5 linked regions of the Cricetulus griseus genome follow. The protein of the gene in region 4 interacts with the protein of the main gene of each other region in a biochemical or structural test. Links are inferred from orthologs where the notes say so. Each region holds a gene or a part of one and is shown on either strand. Other genes may lie near its edges.

What was found.
Region 1: the proteins of Bcl10 (region 4) and Ikbkg form a complex in vitro, tested with the Homo sapiens proteins (3 studies listed by BioGRID). The link is inferred for Cricetulus griseus from reciprocal best matches to the Homo sapiens genes BCL10 and IKBKG.
Region 2: the proteins of Bcl10 (region 4) and Chuk form a complex in vitro, tested with the Homo sapiens proteins (2 studies listed by BioGRID, with this or other methods). The link is inferred for Cricetulus griseus from reciprocal best matches to the Homo sapiens genes BCL10 and CHUK.
Region 3: the proteins of Bcl10 (region 4) and Ikbkb form a complex in vitro, tested with the Homo sapiens proteins (2 studies listed by BioGRID, with this or other methods). The link is inferred for Cricetulus griseus from reciprocal best matches to the Homo sapiens genes BCL10 and IKBKB.
Region 5: the proteins of Bcl10 (region 4) and Card9 form a complex in vitro, tested with the Homo sapiens proteins (2 studies listed by BioGRID). The link is inferred for Cricetulus griseus from reciprocal best matches to the Homo sapiens genes BCL10 and CARD9.

The regions. Positions count from the first base shown.
Region 1 is NC_048604.1:1,279,552-1,283,966, forward strand, and holds part of Ikbkg (NF-kappa-B essential modulator), read right to left. Parts: intron 3,036-4,415; coding exon 2,917-3,035; intron 877-2,916; coding exon 724-876; intron 2-723; coding exon 1-1. UniProt on the Homo sapiens protein: Regulatory subunit of the IKK core complex which phosphorylates inhibitors of NF-kappa-B thus leading to the dissociation of the inhibitor/NF-kappa-B complex and ultimately the degradation of the inhibitor.
Region 2 is NC_048596.1:17,443,872-17,448,745, reverse strand, and holds the start of Chuk (inhibitor of nuclear factor kappa-B kinase subunit alpha), read right to left. Parts: upstream 3,506-4,874; coding exon 3,401-3,505; intron 1-3,400.
Region 3 is NW_023276807.1:61,027,782-61,032,196, forward strand, and holds part of Ikbkb (inhibitor of nuclear factor kappa-B kinase subunit beta), read left to right. Parts: intron 1-1,088; coding exon 1,089-1,138; intron 1,139-1,269; coding exon 1,270-1,369; intron 1,370-1,547; coding exon 1,548-1,695; intron 1,696-4,259; coding exon 4,260-4,387; intron 4,388-4,415.
Region 4 is NW_023276806.1:13,250,728-13,255,937, reverse strand, and holds the start of Bcl10 (B-cell lymphoma/leukemia 10), read left to right. Parts: upstream 1-1,965; 5' UTR 1,966-2,146; coding exon 2,147-2,203; intron 2,204-5,210. UniProt on the Homo sapiens protein: Plays a key role in both adaptive and innate immune signaling by bridging CARD domain-containing proteins to immune activation.
Region 5 is NC_048599.1:137,744,072-137,748,486, forward strand, and holds part of Card9 (caspase recruitment domain-containing protein 9), read right to left. Parts: 5' UTR 3,892-4,415; coding exon 3,708-3,891; intron 3,263-3,707; coding exon 3,125-3,262; intron 2,929-3,124; exon of another isoform or gene 2,353-2,928; coding exon 2,048-2,352; intron 1,970-2,047; coding exon 1,790-1,969; coding exon of another isoform or gene 1,706-1,789; coding exon 1,562-1,705; intron 1,236-1,561; coding exon 1,110-1,235; intron 1-1,109. UniProt on the Homo sapiens protein: Adapter protein that plays a key role in innate immune response against fungi by forming signaling complexes downstream of C-type lectin receptors.

The sequences.
Region 1 (4,415 bases), on a different chromosome or scaffold from region 4:
CCTGTGCAAAAGGGGCTGTCACTGAAGAAACTGCTTTGTCCCAGTACAGCCACAGCTTGCCTGGTACAGCTTCACCCTCTTCCTTCTTGTCCCATAAAAGACCTGAAATGTGGGCTTCCTGGATTACATGTAGGCTCCTGGGGCCATCAACTCTGAGGCAGGCTTTGCTGACTGCAAGGATACACTGAAACTGATTTGGCTGCTACACAGTTCATGTTTTCCTTACATCTTGGGATATTTCTAACAAGGGCTAGGGTACAACTCAGGAGTAGAACCTTGGGCTAGCACCAAAAAGAAAATAAATAGGAGAGATGTTTACAATAAAATGACATCTGACTGCATTCAGCACAAAACAAAGAGGCAAGGAGACTGTTCTAAATTAAAGAAAACTCAAAAGGATGCTGAACCAGATGCCAATAGCATGTTTAGAGCCTGTGCAGGCACTGTGGGCCCAGGTGAGTCTTTAGGGCCACCATGGCTCCTTGCTTTCCTTACACCTAGAGCATATGTCAACTGTGGTGAAAAGAACCTGTGTAGGACATATAAATAAACTATGAATGTGGATAGAAAATACTTCTGTTTACATATAATAGTTGACTCTGTCATTATCAAGGCAAAGTCAGCTCTTTTATTCACAGGGAGTCCCTACCAGAACTCCCCAGAAGGCATAAAACACCATGGGTGCTCTGGGATCTCTTGGTACCAACCCTTACAGCCACTCACTTCTCCTCTGAAGCAGCCTGGCGCTCCATTCGCAGGGCAGCCTCCACACTCTGGTTCTGCATGCGCAGCTGGTCCACCTGCACGCTGTGCTGCTGCTGCAGCACCTCCCGCTCACTCTCCAGCTGTCTAACCTGCTCACTAACTGCTCGCATCCTGACATGCAACAAAAAAGAACACACTGAGGGGGCTGGAGCAAGACAGCCTGGGGAAGGGGTCAGGTCCTAACTAGCCTATGTCTAAGAGCTGATTCTGGTAAGACAGTAAAGGGACCATGGCAGCCAGAAGATGGAAAATAAGAAGCATCTCCTGCAACTGGCCCTGAGGTCATAATAGTAGAAAAGCTGCTCTTCCCCAAAACCAGCTGCAACACTTGGGAGAGCAGGCCCTTTACCTTACCTGGGTAACACAATAGAGCCAACATTGTTGGCAGAGGTGTGGGTGAGCCAGCCCCAAAGTTGTAAGCATAGGAAAGCTGTCCCCACTACTTGCCTGTCATGTGGCAATGTAGGTGGTAAGAGATGTTCCCCCTTTACCCCTCGCCCATCTCCACCTGCAACAGACAAGAGAGCTGATCCTCCCCCTTACTAGCTGCAGCATTCAGGATTCAGTTCCTGCCTCTTGCCTAGGCAGCACAGCAGAACTGCTCAGTGGTTGGAGGTGATGGTGACCCAGCCCCAATGCTATGAGCCAAAGAGAGCTGCCCCCATTACTTATCTGTGGTAGTCCCACATCCCACCCATCAACACCTGAGACATGTGGAGAAGCTGGTCCTGCGGTCATAAGAATAGGAGAGCTGTCCTTACCCCTCACCAGCTGCAGCACTTGGGAGAGCAACCGCCTGTACCTCATCTGAGCAACACAACAGAGCTGGCCCTAATGGTGCCAGTGTGGGAGAACCAACCCTAAGGGTGTGAAAGCAGGAGAACTGGTGCCACCCCTCGCTCATTGCTGCAAGAGGTAAATTAGCCGGGAGCAATGCTGGAGAGCTCACCCTGGTGGTGAGGACAGGGGAGGACTGGTTGGCAGACCAACCCTACAGCTGCCCAGGCCCAGATCCAGGGTTATGAATTGACCTAACCCTAATATCCATCCTATTTATGATCTGCTGGACCTGACATGCAGACCCAAAGCTGCAGAATCTCCACAACACAGGGCAACAGCAGGATATCCAGGAAGAGTCCTAGTGAGGGCCGAGTATCAATAGTGTAATAGGAACCAGAAACATCAAACCAGACCAATGACTCTTTGTAGTGAACACTTACAATTAACAATATATGGAGACAAAGGGATTTACAGCATGATTGTGTCACACTGTAGCTTCCAAACACTCACTTTTCTGCAAAGAGTCAGAAACATTAGTGCATGCCTCACAGAGGATGCCAATGTAACTGACTCCCAATAGAAACATGGGGTTCAGAGTCTCCAATGAAAAATAGTTCATGGGGGCTCTGTGCTTTTCATAGGAGTGACTGTGTAATGTATCCAGTCTTCTTTACCTAGGACTATCTGCCTTGGTGGATCCCACTGCATACCTTTCCATGATAAACTTCAGTCTGGATAGTGAGATCGTGAGTGTGGCCTTAAGGGGGCCCTGCAATGCTTCCTAAAGAATAAACTGAACCCGAGTGTAATGGTTTGAATGAAAACAGCCCCCATAGGCTCATAAGGAGCAGCATTATTTGAAAAGATTTTTGTCGGAGTGGGTGTGGCCTTGTTGATGGAAGTGTGTCACTGGGGGTGGGCTTTGAGGTTTCAGATGCTCAAGCCAGGCCCAGTGTCACTATCTCTCCCTGCTGCCTGCCAATCCAGATGTAGAAATCTCAGCTCCTTCTCCAGCACCATGTCTTTCTGTATGCTGCCATGCTTCCTGCCATGATGATAATGGACTGAACCTCTGAATGTAAGCAAACCCCAATTAAAGGTTTTCCTTATAAGAGTTGCCGTGGTCATGGTGTCTCTTCACAGAAATAGAAACCCTAACTAAGACAGCAAGTAAAGGGTCAGATACTGGAAACAAAAGTGGAACTAGATTCCTGGATATCTGGCCAGGGCTCTCCCAAGGCAGACCTGAAGGCTCCAGGGAATTTAAGAAAAGACTTGTCAGTCCTTCCTCTCTTAGGGGAGAGGAACTCCTGGAGCCTCACTCAAAACCCTGGAAAGGGCCTCCTGGAGTAGCTTCCCCTCCCCACTCACCTTCCCTCTAAAGTTTGTCGTTCTTTGGTGGCAGCCTCCAAGCGACTCTGGCTCTCCTGGAGTTCCCCTAACAATGATGTCACCTGGGCTTTCACAGAGGCCTTGTCCTCAGCCATCTGCTGCAAGAGAAAAGGGAATTTCCTATCAGTACTACTTTCTCCCATGATGCCCAGTTTTGGCATCCCCAAGGGCTGAGGCAGCCTACAAGCAGCTGATGTACTAAGGGCTACTCTTGCCCCTCAGCACCTATAAACCTAGGTACATTGGAGCCTCATTAGCCCAATGGCTATCTGTCCTCTCCCAGTCACCAACTTTGACTTTCAGCTGGTAGTAAACCTTTCTCAGTCTCTTTGAAACTCTGAAAAGGGAGACCAGACCCAAAGACAGCAAGAAAAATAAACAACCTAGTCCATATATACAACAGGTGAAAAGTTTCAAAAAATGAGAGAAGATGCTGAATTTTTATAAATACTGAGAGCTGAACCAGCAAGAAGAATTGTCGGGTAAAGGTACTTGCCACCAAGGCCTATGACCCAATTTTGATCTTCAAAACCTACATGGTGGAAGGAATGCTGGGGGTATTAAACCATACTCAGCTCAGCCAAACTTTAAGGTTGACCAAACATTAACATGCCTTCAAACAGCTTAAGATCACATTCCTGGAATGTCCCAGACCCCTTCCTGGTTCCTACTTGCAAATTCTCAGAGTTGTTAAAGGAACAGACTATTCTGACCAACACTTGATATAGGCTGGAAAGCTAGTAAGTACTACCAGCCATGACTCCTTCCTGTATCCCTCTCAAAGTCCATGTATTCCCTATGATCCTAACGCTGTCTCAAAAAACCTGAGTGCTACTCCTTTGAAATGCAATCATCAAAAAGGATAGGACTCAGACTCCTAGTCTCCTAGTATGGTAAAAACATACATTTGATTTGTACAAGCTCATAAACACACTGGCCTCATCACATCGACACTAATACCCTTTGTCATTCACTTCAGCTCCCTTCCCCTGCCCAAATCCTCCATTTTCTTTCTATCTCTATTTCTGTCCTTATTTTTTGAAGTACTAAAAATTGAACTCCAGGCCTTACACATGCAAAGTATATACTCTTATTATTGAACCACACTCTAGTACCTACTGTCATTTTAAAATTCCCAGTCATTGAGTGGAGAGATGGCTAAGAGTACTTGTAGCTCTTTAGAAGATCAGAGTTCAGTTCCTACCACAACAACCATCTAGTAGCTTACAGCCACCTAGAATTCCAGTTTGAACCAGCCAGAATGGCTAAAATCAAAACCACCAATGACAGTCTATGCTGGAGAGGATGTGGAGAAAAAGGAACACTCCTCCATTGCTGGTGGGAGTGTGAACTTGTAAGACCACTTTGGAAATCAGTATGGCGGTTTCTCAAGAAAATGGGAATCAGTCTACCACAAAATCCAGCAATTCCACTCTTGGGCATATACCCAAAAGAAGCACATTCATACAACAAGGACA
Region 2 (4,874 bases), on a different chromosome or scaffold from region 4:
GTCTCTTCAGAAGATTAGAGATACTTTTAATAATTTAGAACTACTATTAGAAATATACAAAGATCCCATTTCTCCAACAAGTTCCTACTCCAAGCTTAGTCAAGACAAGAAACAAGGGCCCCAAACTCTAGTATAACCAGAAAGAAGAAAGTTAATTCAGGGATCCCAAACCTCAAAACAGCAAGAAATAGTTTTCATATAACCAAGTCTAATGCAAAATAAAACCCTCCAAAACTCGATCCTAATCTTTGCATTTCAAATGGCATGGAAAAACATCCAAAGAACTGTACTCCTACTGAAATATCTACAATACAACCCTAAGACCTCTTGCTTGTGATTAGTAATTTCACCACTTCTGCCTGAGTATCCTATGCACATTTCAGGTAACAGCCAGGCTTCATCATATTCTGACAACACCACTAATACAGTGTCAGAACCAAACAGGCCAAACTGCATTAAGTGTTCAAAAGAATGTCTCAAAGGTGTGGTCAAAGTGGTGAGTGCAGTATGCAGGGGCTGAAGGGGGAAGCAGGGAGCAAGATAGCTTAGATAGGATAGCCTGGATTAGGAACGAAGAGAAAGGCAAGGCAAGACAGTTTCTAATGCAGGGGTTGGGGGCTAATAGAGACTAAGATAGCTTTACCACAGTGCTCACTCCTTTTAGCTTTTGTTATAAGCAAACAGGTTATCTGATAGTAGTTACAACCTACATAGAGTTTTGCTACTATGGTGACTTGTAAGCCCTAAATTCTGATATGAATGAGACAGGAAGCTATCTACCTTATATAGGTCCCAACCACAAGAGATCCTTCAAACGCCTTGATTTATAGTTCACCTCCTCTGTAAAACTCAATCGACTCACAGAGAATGTTCTCTGGAAAGTTTATAGTTGCCTAACAACAACAAAAAGGCCTGTTTGTTAAAAATGAGACTAAGTTGGGTGTGGTAATATAAGTCTATAGTTCCTGCTATTGTAAGACTGAGGCAGGCAGGAAGTCTGAAAACACTAAGTTAATCTCTTTACTTTTTGGAGCTTTTAAATTGGATTCCCAATTTGAATTTCGATTCTCCAGGCATTTACCCAAAGTATTTGAACTCAGTGAAGTTGCCCTCAGTCTGCAGATGACAGCTTCTAGGGCCTCCAGAGGACGCTGAAATCTAGAGGATGCTGCCCAAGTCCATTGCAGTATTTGCACACGACTGACATCCATCCTCTCTGTCTGCATATGTTTTGTGGACGCATTTCCTGAGATCCCAAGTCCTACCCGACCAGATTATTTTCAGTGTGTGGCAGGTAGATCTATAGTACTGAGGATAGAACCCAGGGCCTTGGGTATGTACTTTATCACTGAATTACATCTCCTTCCCATACACACTTCTTTAAAAAGGGAACACTCTGTGGCCCATGGACCTCAGTCTCCCAAGTGTTCCCACCATGCCTGGCTTCTTCCAAATTCTTTCTTTAATGTATTATATGGAACTAGGTTTTTCAAACACCCTTTGAGAACTTGTACCCTATTCCCTAGGGAAAGTTCTTTGGCTACTCACACTGCCAGTACTTTCAGTGTCTAGGATTACACTGAACCCATGTTTATTTCTGAGACAGGCTGGCCTTGACCACAGTATGAAGCCCACTCAGGGGCTGGCCTCAAACTCAAAATTCTCTTGTCTCTGGACCCTGGGTGCTAGGATTACAAGTATATGCCACTATGCCCAGATGTACTTTGTGTCTATGTCAATCTCTCTCTGAAATTAAGTTTCCTTCAGGGTGGAAAATACTGTTCTTGTTGATTGGGGCGCCTTTAGTGCCCAATACAGAAATCAGCTAACACTCTTCAGGAGAGCAAAACCCTCAGTGGTAATACACTGGTTTGTATGAATATTAATTTTTTGAAGAGAAGATTCATAGTTTTTATTGAATTATCAAAAGACCCATGACTCAAACCTGATTAACTGGGGCTAAGGATGTGTAACCCAGGGTTAGACCATTTGCCTAGCATGTGCAAAGCCTGTGTTCCACTCCTACCATCAACAACATTAAAATAAGGAAGGTGAGGGTTAGCTTTAAAATCCTTTAAAAGTACAAATAACTGCTGTTGCAATGGTTAAACATTTTCAATTAAATCCAAGCAAATTTCCCGAACCTGATGTTAGTTGTCTTTTACATAACAAACCCGTCTTTTGCAGAACAAACCCCTCAGTCTATTTCCTTCTCTTTGAAGCAAGGATCATTTTACCACCTCACCCTCACACTGTTTCTTGCCTGGACTGGAATGTGCCAATTCCAGAGTCTGTCAATGTTTCCACAGGTTCAACTCTGGACACCAGGAAGGACTTTCCTTGTTTACTCAAGTGTGCGGGCAGGGACACACACAGAGATCCTTGATATTTGTACATACTCCTCGTCACCACACACACACACACACACACACACACACACACACACACACACTCACACACACACACAGAAACACATGGATACACACACAGACACACACACAGTCACACAGTGTCACACACAGACACACACACACACAGACACAGAGACACACACACATACACACATACACACACAGAGACACAGTCACACACACACACACAGACACGCGCACGCACACACACTCTCACACACACACTCACACAGTCACTCACACACACAGACACACACACACAGTCACACAGTGTCACACAGACACACTCACACACACACACACACACACACACACAGACACAGAGACACACACACATACACACACATACACAGTCACACACACACACACACACACAGACACACACAGTCACACAGTGTCACACAGACACACACACAGACACAGAGACACACACACAGTCACACACAGGGACACACACACACAGACACACACACAGTCACACAGTGTCACACACACACACACACAGTCACACAGTGTCATACACACACACTCACACACACACACACACGGACACAGTCACACACACACACACTCACACACAGACACATACACACACACACACAGTCACACACACACACATTGTCACACACACACAGACTCACACTCAGTCACACACACACAGACTCACACTCAGTCACACACACACAGACACATACACACAGAGACACAGTCACACACACACACATTGTCACACACACACACACACACACACACACACACACACACACACACACACTCCTCGTCACCACACACAGCTGCAGCAGCTTCCTCTCTCTCACCCGGCACCCGGCCGGCCACCAGGCTCACCAGGGCCCTAAGTGCGGCCGCGCTCGTTCACCGGCCCCAGCACCCCAAGGTCTCCACGCCCCCTCCCGCTGACTGACAGCCGCTGTCCCAGGGCCGCCCGGACCGACCCGGCGCCGCCGCCGCCGCCCCCCACCCCGCCTCACCCGGTGCTGGTACAGACAGACGTTCCCGAAGCCGCCGGTGCCCAGCCGCTCCCGCATCTCCCAGGGGCCGCCCGCGGCCGGCCGCAGCCCCGGGGGCCGCTCCATGGGGCGGGAGCGCCAGCCGCCTCAGGCTTCGCCGCCGGTCCAAGGCCGGTTCCGGGCCGCCGAGCTCGCGCGCCCTTCTGCTCGCGAGACCTACACGTCACTTCCGATAGCTTCCGTAGGAAAAGTCCCGCCCCCTTCTCCACCGGCCTGACACTGGGGATGCTAATAACTCGGAAGCGTCAGGCTCGGCGTAGGGTCGAATTCTCAGGGTCTGTACGCAAGTCGATGTGTTAGGGGTCACGGGTCATGAGTGGTACTCGACTGATTGATTCTATGATTTGCATGTAGTCCACGGAATTGGAATTATCAGACTTGAAGGTAATAGCAAATGAGCCTCTGAGAACAGGTCTCTTCTGGGATTGGTGCGGGCGAGTGGGCTGGGCACGAGCGGGTGCACCGAGAGGACCTTCGTGTGTGGGATTTTCATTTTGAGATTTGTGTGTGTGTGTTCTTTGAGGGTTTCATGCGTGTCTTTATTTTAACATAAATCTCTCCAAACCCTAAACGTCATATTCTTCGTATGGTCCCCACCCCGTCTACATTTTATCTTTTTCAGAGCCCTGCCCTACCGTAACCCACTGGTAAAGGCCACCATAAACATGAAAGAAACCGCGCTAACCGGCCCGTTTATTCATTACCCTTTCCGTACATCTTTTCAAAACCTCTTATAATCCCAAACCACCCAAAGATATGACGTTGTTCCAGGGTGAAAAGTTTCTTCCGGACATGTGAGTCTCCCATCCGACCTCACGGATCCTGCTGCTTCTCAGCCTTGCTGTTTCAGGCTTGCCAGTGCAGTGGTTCTGGGTTGGAATTGTTCCTGGATGCACTACAGGGTTGCAAAGACAAGCTTGGTGTGCTCTTGGTCCAGTAAGGCATATTTCTGAGTGGTGGGTTGCACAGGGGAAGGTATCCGCCTTTCCATTTGAGTGGGTTAACTGCTTCATGGAACCTAGGTGTTTTGTTTTGAGACGGGGTCTCATGTAATCCAGGGTGGTCTAGAACTTGTTATTCCTCCATCTAATTCAGGCTTGTCGCACTCCACCAGGCTGACAGTAGGGATGCTAATCACTCAGAAGTGTAAGACTTGGCATAGAATCAAATTCTCAGGGTCTGTATGCAAGTCGGTGTTGTGGGTCACTGATAATAAGTACCCGACTAATTGATTCTATAATTTTCATGTATTCCATGGAGTTGGAATATCAAACTTGAAAGTAATAGCAAACGAGCCTCTGAGAACCTCATTTGCTGTGTATGGCAGATAGGAGTGTTTCCAGTTTCCACAGATGGGATATAATTTCATAATTTGCCCTCAAGAATAGGAGATACTTAAAACTACAGACAGGATAATGTTGACTGGGCCATTCAA
Region 3 (4,415 bases), on a different chromosome or scaffold from region 4:
CACATTCCCTGGGATCGGCTGTCACTCTTTGTCTTGGCATTCAGATCTGTCAAATGGCAAGGAAAAGTGACCTCCCAGAGTGTAAGGAGCCATTCAAACTACACATTTCAGAAGCAACCAATAACCTTTAAAGGCTGTGAAACACACACACACACACACACACACACACACACACACACACACACACACACAGAAAGAGAGAGAGAGACCTTCCCTGTGGCAGCAGACAGTCCTGCTTCATCCAGCCCACCCTTGTCTAGGTGTGGTTCCCAGAGCAGGAAGGTAGAACAGAGGGAGGAGCCTGCTGAGTCCAGAAGTTTGGCATTGTGTCCAAGAGGGGTCAAGGCATCCTTACAGATTACCCTACCTGGAGAACCTAGCGCTCAGCCTGTGTGCTGCTGATAGGAGGGATCCAGGTGGGCGTGAGTGTCAAGGGCTCTGTCACTTGAAGTGATCAGTGTCCCCTGATGCTCTTACTAGAATTCTTAGGGTGAGAAATCTGAAAATGATTATTTGTTCTCCATTATATTGTTTTTTAACCCTTTACTCTTAAGTTTCCAAATCAGAATGAGTGTGTGTGTGTGTGTGTGTGTGTGTGTGTGTGTGTGTGTGTGTTTCAAAACAGGGTGTGTGTGTATATATATATATATATATATATATATATATATATATATATATATATATTTTCAATGTTCTGGTACTTGATAGCCAAGACTTGCCTCAAATTCACCAGAATCCTATTTCAGCTTCCTGAGTACTAGGATTGTGTGTGTGCAGCCAGGGCTAGTTGGTCTTCTGTGTGCCACCACTGCCCGGCTGGATTCAAGTTGTTGAGGGCAAGTATTTTCTTAGTCAGATCCAGAGATGGTACCTTGAATCTCTTGTAGCCAAGCAGAGAAGGGTATAACCCTTAAGTTGGCCCTTGTTTGAGGCATTTAGGTTTTATAAATAGTACAAAAACTGGTGGGTTTTTCCCACTGAGAACCTGTGTCTAGTTGTCTAAAAACTATCGATTCTGCTGACAAGGATTAGAGTAGTGCTTTAAATGCCATTGGTAGGCCTTGAGTCTAGCCTTTTCTCTCTTCCAGAGAGGAACAAGCGAGGGAACTCTATAGAAGACTGAGGGAGAGGCCTAGAGGTAGGTGGTTTTGGCCTTGGCCCTATTTTGTCTTGTCTTTGAGATAACACTGCCCCTCCCTTCCCCCTACCCCCTTACCCTCCCCACCCCCCAGAGGCCAGGAGGAAGAGCTATGCCACTGTTCTCTGCAGACCAGAGGACAGACGGTGACAGTCAGGAAATGGTTCGGCTGCTACTTCAGGCAATCCAAAGCTTTGAGAAGAAAGTGCGCGTAATTTATACACAGCTCAGGTAGGTGCTCTGCTCCTGCTCCAGGACAAGATGTGGGATTATAGCAAAACTGAGGGTCAGATGGGTGCTCTTGCTCTGAATTGCCTATACAGTGAAGAAACAATCTGTGGTTGCTGATAGGATCCAGAATAGTGCCCACCCAGAGCTCACGGGTGTGTGGCTCATTTGTCCTTTACAGTAAAACCGTGGTCTGTAAGCAGAAGGCACTGGAGTTGCTGCCCCAGGTAGAAGACGTGGTGAGCCGTATGAATGAGGATGAGAAGACTGTGGTCCGCCTTCAGGAGAAGCGGCAGAAGGAGCTCTGGAACCTCCTGAAGATTGCCTGTGTGAGTGGACCTTTGCTCCAGCCTCTCAGGTCCCCATGTTGGTGTTGTGTGTGTTGTCCCTTCCATCTATCTCCCCTCCCTGACCCATGCTCCTCAGCGCTGCTCGACTGGCACTTATTTGTGACATGGAGTGGGCAGGAAGATTCCTGAAGGGAAAGTTTATGTGAGGTGTTACTTACCCATGTGACTACTATAATTACCACAAGTAGAGGGGCTCCAAACAGCAGACATTGTTCTTTCAGAGCTAAGAATCCAGCTGGCACCCTTAATCCCAGCACTGGGGAGGCAGAGGCAGGCGGGTCTCTAAGTTCAAGGACAGCCAGGGCTACACAGAGAAACCCTGTCTCAAAAAAAAAAAAAAAAAAAAAAACAGAGAGCAGAGAGACACCCCCACCCTCCCAGCTTTAGTGGCTCAAGCCTTGTCATCTGTATCTGTGTCTTCAGGTGACATCAGTGTTTCTCATCTGAAGGACTCTTACAAGAACGCATTTAGAGTTTAGGGGTGAAGCTCAGCAGAGCCATGTTTGCCTCATGCATAAGGCCCCAGGTTCAGTCCCTAGCAACATGCATGCATACAGTCATGCAGGCATGCACACACAGATACAGGGGCCCAGTCTTACTTTTTACATGCAGATATCTGGCTCTCCCAGCACCATTTGTTGAAGAGACTGCCTTCCTCCCATGACTATTTTTGGCGTCTTTGTCAAATCAGATTTCTGTGCCTGGGTGGATTTCTGCCTGGGTGCTCTGTCTGCCCTATTGGTCCGTGGGTCTATTTTTTTTTTTTTTTTAAGATTTTATTTATTATGTGTGCAGTGTTCTGCCCGCATGTATCCTTGCAGGCCATGTGGTTGCTGGGAATTGAACTCAGGACCTCTGGAAGGGCAGCCAGTGCTCTTAACCTCTGAGCCATCTCTCCAGCCCGCCGTGGGTCTATTTTTGTGCCATTCTGCTAGTGTTACTGTGCTGCTTCACCTGTATAACTTGAAATTAAGGTGGTGGTAGCTCCAGCATTGGTTATTTTGCTTAGGATTTTTCCTGCTAATTAGAGTTCTTTGTATATGAAGTTTGAGGTTTTTTTTTTTTTTTTTTTTTTTTTTCTATTTCTCTTCTTGGAAGTTTGACGGGGGATTGCATTTAATATGTAGTTGATTTTGGTAGTGTAGCTATTTTCAAAATTGTCTACCAAACTGTGAGCATGGAGGGGTCTTTCCTTTTTTTTTTAAGTTTCTTCAATTTATTTAAGATATTTCATTTCCTGGATTATTCCAAGATATGAGCTTGCTTGTTCTCTCTCTGTCTCTGTCTCTGTCTCTCTCTGTCTGTCTCTGTCTCTGTCTCTGTCTCTCTCTCTCTCTCTCTCTCTCACACACACACACACACACACACACACTTGTGAACATGTACACACTATCATAACACAGCTATGGTATACTACTCAGGGAAAAAAAGTATAACAAAACAAAGAAAAAGAAGGGAAAGAGCCGAGTAATAGCGCACCTTAGAACACAGGGACCTGTTGTTGAAAAGAGACCAAGGAGAAAGAGAAGCTGGCCAAAGAAAAGTTCAGTCATTAGTAGCTTCAAGAGCAAAGAGAGAACCTAGCGTGGAGGTGCACACCTGTGATCCCAGAACCTGAGAGTGTGGAGTAGGAAGTTCAAGGCTAGTTTGACAAGATAGTACGACCCCACCTCAGATAACAAAACAACCCAAAAGGGCAAAGAAGAGGAGGTGGCTTATTTTGGAAGCAAGATACAAAATAGTGCTTCATAAAAAGCCTTTTTTAAATGTTTATTTCATGTTCCTCAGTGTTTTATGTATGTTTTGTATGTTTGTTTGAGGGTGTCAGAAGCCCTGGAATTGGAGTCAGACAGTTGTGAGCTACTGTGAAGATGCTGGGAGTTGAACCCGGGGCCTTTGGAAGAGCAGCTTCTGAGCCCTCTCTCCAGTCTCCTTGTAAAGGTTTTTGACTGGAGTGTCTCTATAGGCCAAGGGAGGAGATGGTGTCCTGGGAGATTCATAGCAGCAGGGCATTGTCACTCCTGAGAACTGAAGGAGTCAGAATCAGGAGCGTCCCTGGCAGATTTGCCTGGGGATGGGAGCTGGAGGATATAGCCTCCTGTAAGAAGGTAGGGAAAGGGGGAAATCTGAGATAACACAATGATGCCCTGCTCTGCCACCTGCATTCATGGAGTGTCCAGCAGTGGTGTGAAAGTGGGGGTACGTGGTGAACTGAGGATGGCATCCACTATAATCTAGTGAGAATTGCAGATGAGGACTTGAAAGAGAACACTAGACTGAGTAAAGAAGTGTAAAGCACATGTGCACACCAACTAAGGAGAGGCCAGAGGCTCAACTGGAATTTGCTCTGTAGACCAGGCTGGCCTCGAGCTCAGATCCTCGTGCCTGTGCCTTCCAAGTGCCGGGATTAAAGGCATGTGCCACCACTGCCCAGATCCTTCCTGTTCTTTTAGATTTATTTTCTGCAAGAGCCTGAGTAATCCCTGAGCCCTCTCCCCAGCCCACTGACTCCATAATTCTGTTGATGATCTTTTGTCATTCAGAGCAAAGTCAGAGGTCCAGTCAGTGGAAGCCCAGATAGCATGAATGTGTCTCGGCTTAGTCACCCTGGTCAGCTAATGTCCCAGCCGTCCAGTGCCTGTGACAGCTTACCTGACTCAGCCAAGAAAAGGTAAGCCATGCTTGACAGTGCCAAGTGT
Region 4 (5,210 bases):
CATCTACAGAACAGGATCAGGTATCTCCGGTTTCAGAGTAGGACATGCGTACACTTACAAGTTGAGATGGCAATGTAGGTTGGTTCCCAGGGTTGGGAAGAGGTACTTATTGCAAAGAATGGCCAGGCATGTTTGTTTGAGGCAATTATAGTCTTGCCCTGTGATTTAGTAGAAAAGGGGAAATAAGTTTCCTAATGGAGGAAGAGAATGCGTTAGAAACCGAGGACTGAGAACTACAGGATACGATCATACACAAGGCTCAGGTCGGAGGACGGCCTGAAACCACTTCAACACTTGCCTGAACAATATAGACCTGATTGCAAAGGAAGAAAAAAGGAAAACTGTTGACAATTTTTCATGACCAAAAGTGACGGTGAAGAGTGTTCACAATGGTACTGGGTGGAGGGAGAATAAAGCTTGGAGCTGTTTCTCTTTCTCACCCTTCTCCAGTCTATTCTTTTTGATAGCTACTGTGAGCCTTTCAAAACAAAATCCAATCTCCCCGCCCCTTCTCTTCCAGGCGTTGTCTCTCACAGCTCCCACTTAGCACCGCCCACCTAGCCCAACCGCTACCTCCTGGGGTTTACATCAGACCGGAGCCGCCCAGCTTGTCTCCCCTCCTAGAACAGTGAAAGAGACCCTCAAATCATAGACGGCACCTGTCACTCCTCTGCTCTGAAGTCTCCATGGCGTCCCTTCTGAGTCAGAGTAAACCTGCATGACTCAGAGCAAAGTCAGATTATACACACAGAGTTCATCTCCCTGTCACACGGAGTCTGCTCACTGGTGGGGCACTCCACTCCTAGAGATCTTTCTCCATCTGTCCACAGGGCTCCTGCCTCACTTCCTGAAGGTGGGAAATTTATCCCTTCTCTCAGTGAGTCTGCACCATCACCCTTCCTACTTCCCTTCTCTATTTTTCCTCTTAGCATTTATGAGCTTGTAACATGTTAAATACCCACACATAATCCTATTTGGCGTAGCACTCTATCTGGAGCTCCTGGTCCACTATGTCCTATGGTTTGCACACGCTGCTACAGTTAGAATACCATCCTGGGAATAGCCATCTGGTCTCCGATAAGAGAACTTCCCCATCACAAGGTGACTAAAACACTTGCCTAGTGAATAATGATAATGGATAAAAACAAACACGAGCGTGCAACTGTGCACCAAGTAACTTCAGAACCTTAACTATATTCCAGGAGGCCCTAGAAGAATCTATCTCTATTGCTAGGTTAGTAAGGGGATACGTTCCTAACAGTGACTTAAAAGTACTCCAAACATTGCTTTAGGTGCTAAAATAGTGGGACTGCAGGTGATGTTTTTAAAGTTAACACCTTTTTTCGTTATTTACTTGTTTACTTTGTTGTTGTTATTTTGATTTGTTTTCTGGTCTCACGATCCTCGTGCTCCTCCAGTCTCCCTAGTTGTGGGTGTCAGCGGGCCCGGACCAGGCCCTCAAACATTTCAATACTGAAGTTATATTATGTGCGCGTGTATGCTTTGCACACCTGTAAGCGTTTGTGCACGATCGAGCAATCATAAAACCTGGAGCAGCAGCACAACAACAGGAAATCGTTGCGCAACATCTGGAAAAGAGAAGCAAAGCAGAGGACCTGACGGCGGACTCGGCCCACGCTCCACCCAAATGCGGAGTCTGCGAGGGCGGGGAGATCCCGCTAAACTGAGCGGCCACGGCCCCGCCCACGGAAACGAGTCCTTCTCGGCAGACCAATCCGCAACCTTATGCAAATAGATCCTGGGCGTGGCTAGAGAGGCGGCCCCTGTCGGCGAAGCCACTCCGGAAGAAGGAGCGAGAACCGCGGGCTAGCACTGATTGGCTGGCCCTATTGGGGGCGGGGGCTGACGGTAGACCCGCCCCTGGAGGGTGGAGCCTGAGCTAGGCCTTCCAGCCTAGGGACGGGGAGGGGGCGTGGCGAGCGAGGCTCCGCAGGCCTCAGGGGCGGAGCCGGAAGTGGGGCGCTGAGATTCCGCACCTCCGCGTTCCGGGAGCCGGCCGGCGGTTCCCCCGGATCTGGTCCTGGTCCCCCAGAGTCACCGGTGGCCTGCGTCCCGGAGACCGGAGGCTTCAGCCTGGGCGGGGCGGCGCGGCGCGGGCCGGAAGGACGCCATCCCGGCCCTGGCCATGGAGGCTCCTGCGCCGTCCCTAACCGAGGAGGACCTCACTGAAGTGAAGAAGGACGTGAGTAGCTCGGCGGGCGAGCGGGGCGGGCGGAGGAAAGCGGAAACCCGAAACCCGGAGCCGAGCGACCGGGAGCTTGGTGTCGGAAGAAGGCTGGATCGGGGCCCGGGGCCGGCTTGGGTGTTTGTGTGCCCTCCGCTCCCCGCCGGGGGCTCCCCATCCTGCCGACCCCCGCCCGCCTCACCCCGCGGGAGCCGCTAGGCCAGCGCCGCCCGGGGTCCCCAGGCAGGAGCGGCCGGGTGAAGCTCGCCCAGCTGGAAGCGCAGCCCGGAATTCCCCGCCGTCAGACGCCCACGCATTTCAATGCAGGGGGGTGTGCGAGCGTCGAGCGAGGCTCGGCTGCCAGGCACACGTTTGAAAACAGTCAGCGGCTGCCTCGCACGCCTGTGCTGAGACCGGGCGGAACGGCACAGGCACCTTACTTAGAGTTTGTGACCCGAGGCACGATGCGCTCGCTTCCTTTCTTCTCTTACTCCAGTTACGAGTTTTGCCAGAAAGTCAGATAAGCGCCACTTAGATCATATACGTGGATTCACGTTAAAGACAGTAACTCGTTCTTTGCTTAGCACCGTAGGTAGTGCTGTTGGAAAACCGTCTTTGCGAACTTGAGAGCAAGTTGTTGAGGTCGTTTCTGCTTCAGATCCCTGTTTCTGCCGTACTTTATCCCTTGTAAGGTTTATTGCATTGCACCCATGATTAAAATTGGCGTAGTTGAGTGGGGTTCGTGCCCCACGTAGTTCCCTTGTTCGGTGTTGTTGGTAGGGCACATCCTGTCCAGAGAGCTTCTTCACATTCTACTTGGGACTAGGTCTTTCATAGCTACCATAGTCTTATTTAAGATGCCAGTAAAACCATGTACTAAAGTATGGCGGCTATGCTTCCAGTTCCGTTTCACACGGTTTTGAATTTTCTCACAATACCTGTAAAGAAGAGAATTGCTTTTCATTTTATAGCTGGCAGAGCAGGACAAGACCTGTCTGTGGACACACATGAGTACTGCAGACCTTTGTCACTGCCCAGTTGGTTCGTTATGACATTAACAGTTTAGCCCTGTATCAGATGTTCACAACTGTAGAGAAACTATGCATGAGCTTCAAGGTGTCTATAGAACGTATTTTTCCTCAGATATCCTATTATTAAAGCTGCTCATGACAAGCTTAAAAATTTGTCGACATAACTTGAACCTCCTTCTTTCTCAACCTCAGACCTCTATTCCAAGTGTTTTCTAGGAATCAAGTTTTAATATTATACAAGTTATTCTTACATTTTCAAAAATGGAGCTTTTCAATACCCCTGCCAGACTTCGTGCTGTTCCTCCTGTACTATCTGTCCTGATAAATAATGGGAAGTTGTGCACATGATACTGTTTTCAGGGTCTCCTTTCTGTGGCTTCTGTTGCCTGTGGTCAGCCATGGTCCAAAGATATTGGACGGGAATTTGACAAGTTACATGGTACAAATTGAGCACTGCTCTAAGTAGCATGATAATCTTGTACCACTCACTGCATCTGACCAGGGGCATGAGTCACACCTCATCCCTAGTCTATCACACTGTGAGCTTTTCCTGCCTGTTGGCAGCTGCCTTGACTATGAGATGAGTTTTTATGGCAGAGAGCTTGGGTATGAGATTTGTACCTTGAGTTTCAGACATCCCCTGAGTCTTGGGGACCATTGTCCAGCTGCTGATCCCCCGGGACACCTGTGTAAAGTGGGGCACAAATAATGTGTACCTCAAAGAAGTCGACCAAGTTTGACGAGCACATGTTTTAAAAGTACTCACGAAACCAGTCAGTCCTCTAAACAAGGTGAACCATGGAACAGAGAGAGCCGCCTGAGTGCGACCCTCATATTTAAGGTCTTGCTACATCACTGACCATACCCTAGTGTGCGTGCTCTGCGTTACCTGTGTCAGCACCCAAGAGGGCATGGCTGACATTTCCCCTATAATTCCCCTTTTAGTCTAAAAGAGGATTAAAACTTAACAGTGTAAATTATCTATTATAAACAATCATAAGGGTAAATTACATGAGGTTATAATAATCTACTAATGTCACATCTTAACTATAACTATCCCAACTAAACCTTAAAGTCATCCGAAAGAGATGTCCAAGCTTGAACACCTCCTTCCAAACCCAGCCTTAAATAATAGCAGACTAGGTGTAAACAGTGGGGAAAGGGGATGCAGTGTTCTCCATGCTACTTCCTGCTGAACTGGGATGACAGTGACAACCCCGTGGGGTCCTGTGGGAAGAAATGTTAGTGTAATGAAAGTCCTGAATGTGTTATATCCAGTCCATGTTTGGTGGGAGGTGCCTGATTGAAGGTCCAGGTTGAAGTCCTTGTCTCTATTGAAGTTCTTGTGTTGATTGAAGTCAGTACCCGAAGTTCTGGCCAGAGTGTCAGCTGAAATAAGTAAGATGGATCCAGTGCAATTGAGGAGGTGTGGCCCATTTTCTTTCTGGAGCATCCAGGGGTTGCTGTCAACAGGTCTTCATTGGCTGTGTGGGACTCAAAAATAAATGTTAGCAGAGAAATATTTGCTTGTATATGTATGCATACCGGGAAAGGCAACCATGGGAAAATAAGAATTATGAAAGGATGTACACCTTGAGAGAAAAAGGCCAAGAAAAGACAAATGACAGTCCCTGATCTTTCCTCTATTCTGTATTACATCAATTGACTTCTTGATATAGTACAGAAACTCTGAAGTTTAACAAAGTGCTTGGATTTAGAGGAGGAAAGCCAAATCCACCTCTAAAGCCAGCATTGGTTTAATTGAATAGGGACTAGGAAATAAAGAGAAACCCAGCGCCTGTGAAGTAATTTACATCTTGGTGTCTTCAGGCACCATTATTGTAATGGATAATGCAGGAACTGGCTCCCTACACTTTTGTTTGATGGTTATAGCTACCTTTTCTTCTTAAGTATCTACCCATGCAGTGTCCTTTGCCTTCAGGAGATGAGTTTTCCTGTGAAGATAAAAGAAAAACCCTTTCCTTTGGGAGGTT
Region 5 (4,415 bases), on a different chromosome or scaffold from region 4:
TTTAAAAAGAAAAACTCCAAAAAGAAGCAGCTGAAATGACCATGGCCAACACTCAAGATAGTTCCTAGGGAAGTCCAACCAAGAAGTCAAACATCCCTAGTCAGTATGTGTCTCTGTCCCACCCATGTGGCATGTTTTCAAGTTCTGGATGCATCTTGACATCAAGAATATGATCACTGGGCGGTGGTGGCACACGCCTTTAATCCCACCACTGGGGAGGCAGAGGCAGGCGGATCTCTGTGAGTTGGAGGCCAGCCTGGTCTACAAAGTGAGTTCCAGGACAGCCAAGATGACACAGAGAAACACTGTCTCAAAAAAACAAAAAACAAACAAAGAACATGATTGATGGCTGTTCTTAAAATGAATACCATGCTTCTTCTTTTGTTTCCTGGGAGACAGTTTCATTCATTTCCCAAACTGGCCTAAAATTTACTATGTATCTGAGGATGGCCTTGAATTTTTGATCCTCCTGACTCTACCTCCAAAGCCTGGAATTACAGGCATGTGCCACCAAAGTTGGCTCAGTTGCTACTACTTTTTGTTGTTTTTGGTTTTTTGAGACCGGGTCTACCATTGTAGCCCAAACTGGCTTGGAACTCACTGTGTAATCCAGGCTGGCCTTGAATTCACAGTAGTTATTTTGTTTCAACCTCCAAATGCTGGGAGTACAGGTATGAGCTACCACTACTACTACTGCTGCCTATTCCAGGGGGTTACCACCAGCTCTTCTACCCAATACTGTGGCCTCCACCTCCCACCTGTGTAGCTAGCAACTTCCTCTCCTCTATTGAAGTTTCCAACCCTGACCTTCCCCTAACCAGCACAGGCGCCACTGGGACTCCCCTGCTACACTGGCCCTTCCTGTGAGAGAGGCAGATGTTCCTGTCTTTGTACAAGAGGCTCCAGGTTCTATCTTTCAACATTGCCAAGTTACCTCAGGCATAAATAGATAGGTAGGTAGGTAGATAGATAGATAGATAGATAGATAGATAGATAGATAGATAGATAGATAGATAAAGTAATGAGTTGACCACAGCTTCAAAAGCCTCTACACCGGCACCCAAACACTCCTCTCATTCTCATCTTCTGAACACAAATGCAACACCTACCTGGTCCCGCTCAATGGAGACTTCCTCCATCTGCTGCAGGATAGCCTCGATCCGGTCCTTGTACATCTTGGCATCCTTACGCAAGGCCAGGCACTGCAGCTCGAACATCTCCCTTTCCTCCACGCACTACAGGAAGCACCACTCAGCCTCACCCACTCTCCACTGCTCACCTGGCCCTGGGCTGGACTCAGGCAACACCTTCAGAGCACTCAAGATCGGGCTAGCCGGGATGATGGGAAGGGCACTGCAGTCCCAGGCCACAGCAGGCTTGCCTGGTCTGAGACCATGGCCTCAGCCACCACCGATCACACGGTAAACTGAAAGGATGACCCTAGCTGTGGACATGACACCACTGTGCACCAGGAATTGGTGAAGGGGAGACAGTGAGTTACATTCCAGACCCTGCCTTCCAGATACCCAGTGGGTACTGCTTGCCTGCCCTGCCCTCTCACCCGGGTCCGGAGGGCCTCAGCTTGGCGGAGGTCCTTGCGTAGGGAGAAGATGGTGTTGGCCTGCTCTTGGTGCTCCTGCAGTGCCTGGCGCCAGTCCTCCTGCAGCACTTGAATGTAGGGGCTGTTCCTGTCTAGCTTGCCCTCCTGGAGGTGGCAAAGGGCAACAAGCCTGGCCATTGCAGTTGTACCATCTGGTGTGCCCCTGGTGTGCACTGCTGGTAGCCCTACCTGTACAGAGACCTCCAGCTCCTGCACCCGGGCCTGCAGCAAGTCCTTTTCCTGCTGCAGCTCCCACATCAGCTCCTGGCTGGGCCGCTGCTCCATAGCATGCCTGAGCTTCAGGGTGTGTTTTCGCTCCACCTTGCAATCATCCTCTGCCTTCATGAGGCTGTGCCTGAGCCGGTCCACCTGTGGGTGGTCCAGTCAGCAGCAGCCTCCTCCAGACACCCCCACCCCCACCCCCCTGCTGGTGGGACAAGCGATCACCTCGAGCTGCAGGTCCCGGTTCCGCATGAGCGCTGAGCCCTTCTCTTCACTCAGATGTGCTAGGCGCATGGCCAGGTCATAGTTCTCATCCTTGCAGCGCTTCAGCTCTCGGCTGCTCAGCTCACACTCTTCCTTGAGCCGCTGCACACGCTCCTGGTGCTTGCGCAGGAGGCTGTCCTTTACCCGAAGCTCCTTGATGAAGTCGTCCTTGGAGCTCAGAAGTGCCGTCAGGTCCTGAACCTTCTTCTGCAGCTTCATGACCTCTGTCATCAGCAGCTGCGTCAGGCCTGACTCCCCTGATGCATCTGGGGACCATGCAGTGTCAGATGGAGCCTGTGGCTGTCACCTGCAGACCCTGTGCTTGTCCTTGTCCAGAAGTATGTGCTTGAAGACCAGCAGTTTGAGGGGCAGAGGGAGCACTACTGGTCTTCCACAGAGAGAAAGCTGGTGGGAAGGCTCCCTGGGGACTGTTCACCAGGCCCAGTCTGCCTTGCTGCCCCTCACATATGAACTGACTGAGATTCTAACTTATCACATGCCAGGACTCCAGCTGGCCCTCTCTCTCTCTCTCTCTCTCTCTCTCTCTTTTTCTCTCTCTTTTCCCTGAGAAAAGGTCTCACTATGTAGTCCAGGGTGGCCTCTAACTCAGAGATCTGCCTGCTTCTCCCTGGGATTAAAGGTGTGTGCCAGCATGCCTGGCCCTCTGTCTACCTTTATAAAGATCTTTATGAGATGAATGATAGGGATGTGGACTGATAGGGATGTGGCTATTCCATCAGTTCACCTCTGTCCCCTCTAGAAACTGTGGGATTCTGTCCTTAGGTGGTAACTGGGCCCCATGGAATTAATACTTTATAGAGGGGTCACCTCTTCTTAGTGGATGTTCTTAGGATGGGAGTAGGAAAGGCAGAGAAGGGAGCCCTGACCCTGAGCACCTGAGAGTAGTCACTGGTACCACTACTCTGATATGTACCACAGGGCTTGTATTAGACTCATTCATTCTGATGTAATCACAGAAGCCAGGACCTGGTGGCACCTGACTGCACTCACAGCACCCACCCACTCTGTGCCTCTCACCAATGATCATGGAGAAGACTCGTGCTGGCTCCTTGCCCGTGACTTTCCTGTATAATTGAGGGTAATAGAGTTCCAGACTCTCAAGGAAGGCTACATAGCCCTTGTGGCCTGTCCGCTGCAGGATGTCCAGTAGCACACCTACAGATGGAAGAGACAGAGTTGAGGCCAAGGTCTGGGTATGTAGAAGCTCTGGGGCCCAGGTGGGACAGTGGATGACTGCTCTGAGTAGAGGTGCCAAGCTGTGGACCCCCAGCCCTCGTTTCTGGGCCCTTCCTAGCAGAGGGATCTGGGGCATTGCATAAGGCACCCTGCAGGTCTCAGTCAAGGCAGAGTAAGGTGCTGCCTTCACTCTTGTGGCTCTCTCACAGCCTGAACAATGGTAGGAACTCCCCTTCCCTCCTCTGGGTAGCAGCAGGTAGGCATGATGAGAGGAGAGAAGGCTCTCATGCATACATCCTAGGTGTAGATGGAGCTGGGTGGGGACAAGGCCAGGGCGGCACAGCATGTAGCAGCCTCTGGCCAGGTGTCTGTGGGGACCATGAGGGACTAGGGACAGCCCTGCTGGTGTGGGAGCAGCCCTCACCCACTTTCCGCTTGCGAATGACCAGGTTGGGGTCACTGAGCACCTGCTCCTCATCATCGGGGTTCAGGACTTTGCACTGGCGCAGATAGGGTGTGATTCGTGAGGGGTCAATAACAGAGATGAGCTTCACCCGGAAGCTCTCCAGGGCACTCCAGCACTCGTCATCATTTTCATAGTCTGACATGTCCTCTGTAGTCTGTGGTCACAGTCAGGGGAGAGCAGCTCAGGAAGTGCCCACCTTCTGTTCTCTACTGGGTCTGGAGCAGTCAGCCTACAATAGGACCCAGGCCTGTGAGTGCCAGAACAGGGCTTTGGGCAAGGACACAAGGGACTCATTCTGGAGAAATTTGAGGGGTCAACCTCATCTTTGTTCCACAGATTCTGAGGGATAGCAGAGGTGCACTGATAGCCCCTCCTAGTGCCACCCTGCCAAGCTCATCTTCCCCAAGCAACTGCCCCTCTGTTACCTCAAACTTTCTTCCTGAGTCACCTGGATATGTCAGGGAAAGGGCAGGTTGGGGTCTAAGAGAACACTCCTTGTACAATGGCCCTTCTTTGGCTTCTGCCCTTTACCCTAAAGTGCTCTTGAACCTCCTGAAGGTAGATGAATGTAGGGAGCTTTTGCCCCTAGTAGCCATCCTACACGGCACCTTCTTGGGTGGCACGGGCTCTGGCGGGCCCGTGTCCAGATTGTGGCCGAGAGGCTGG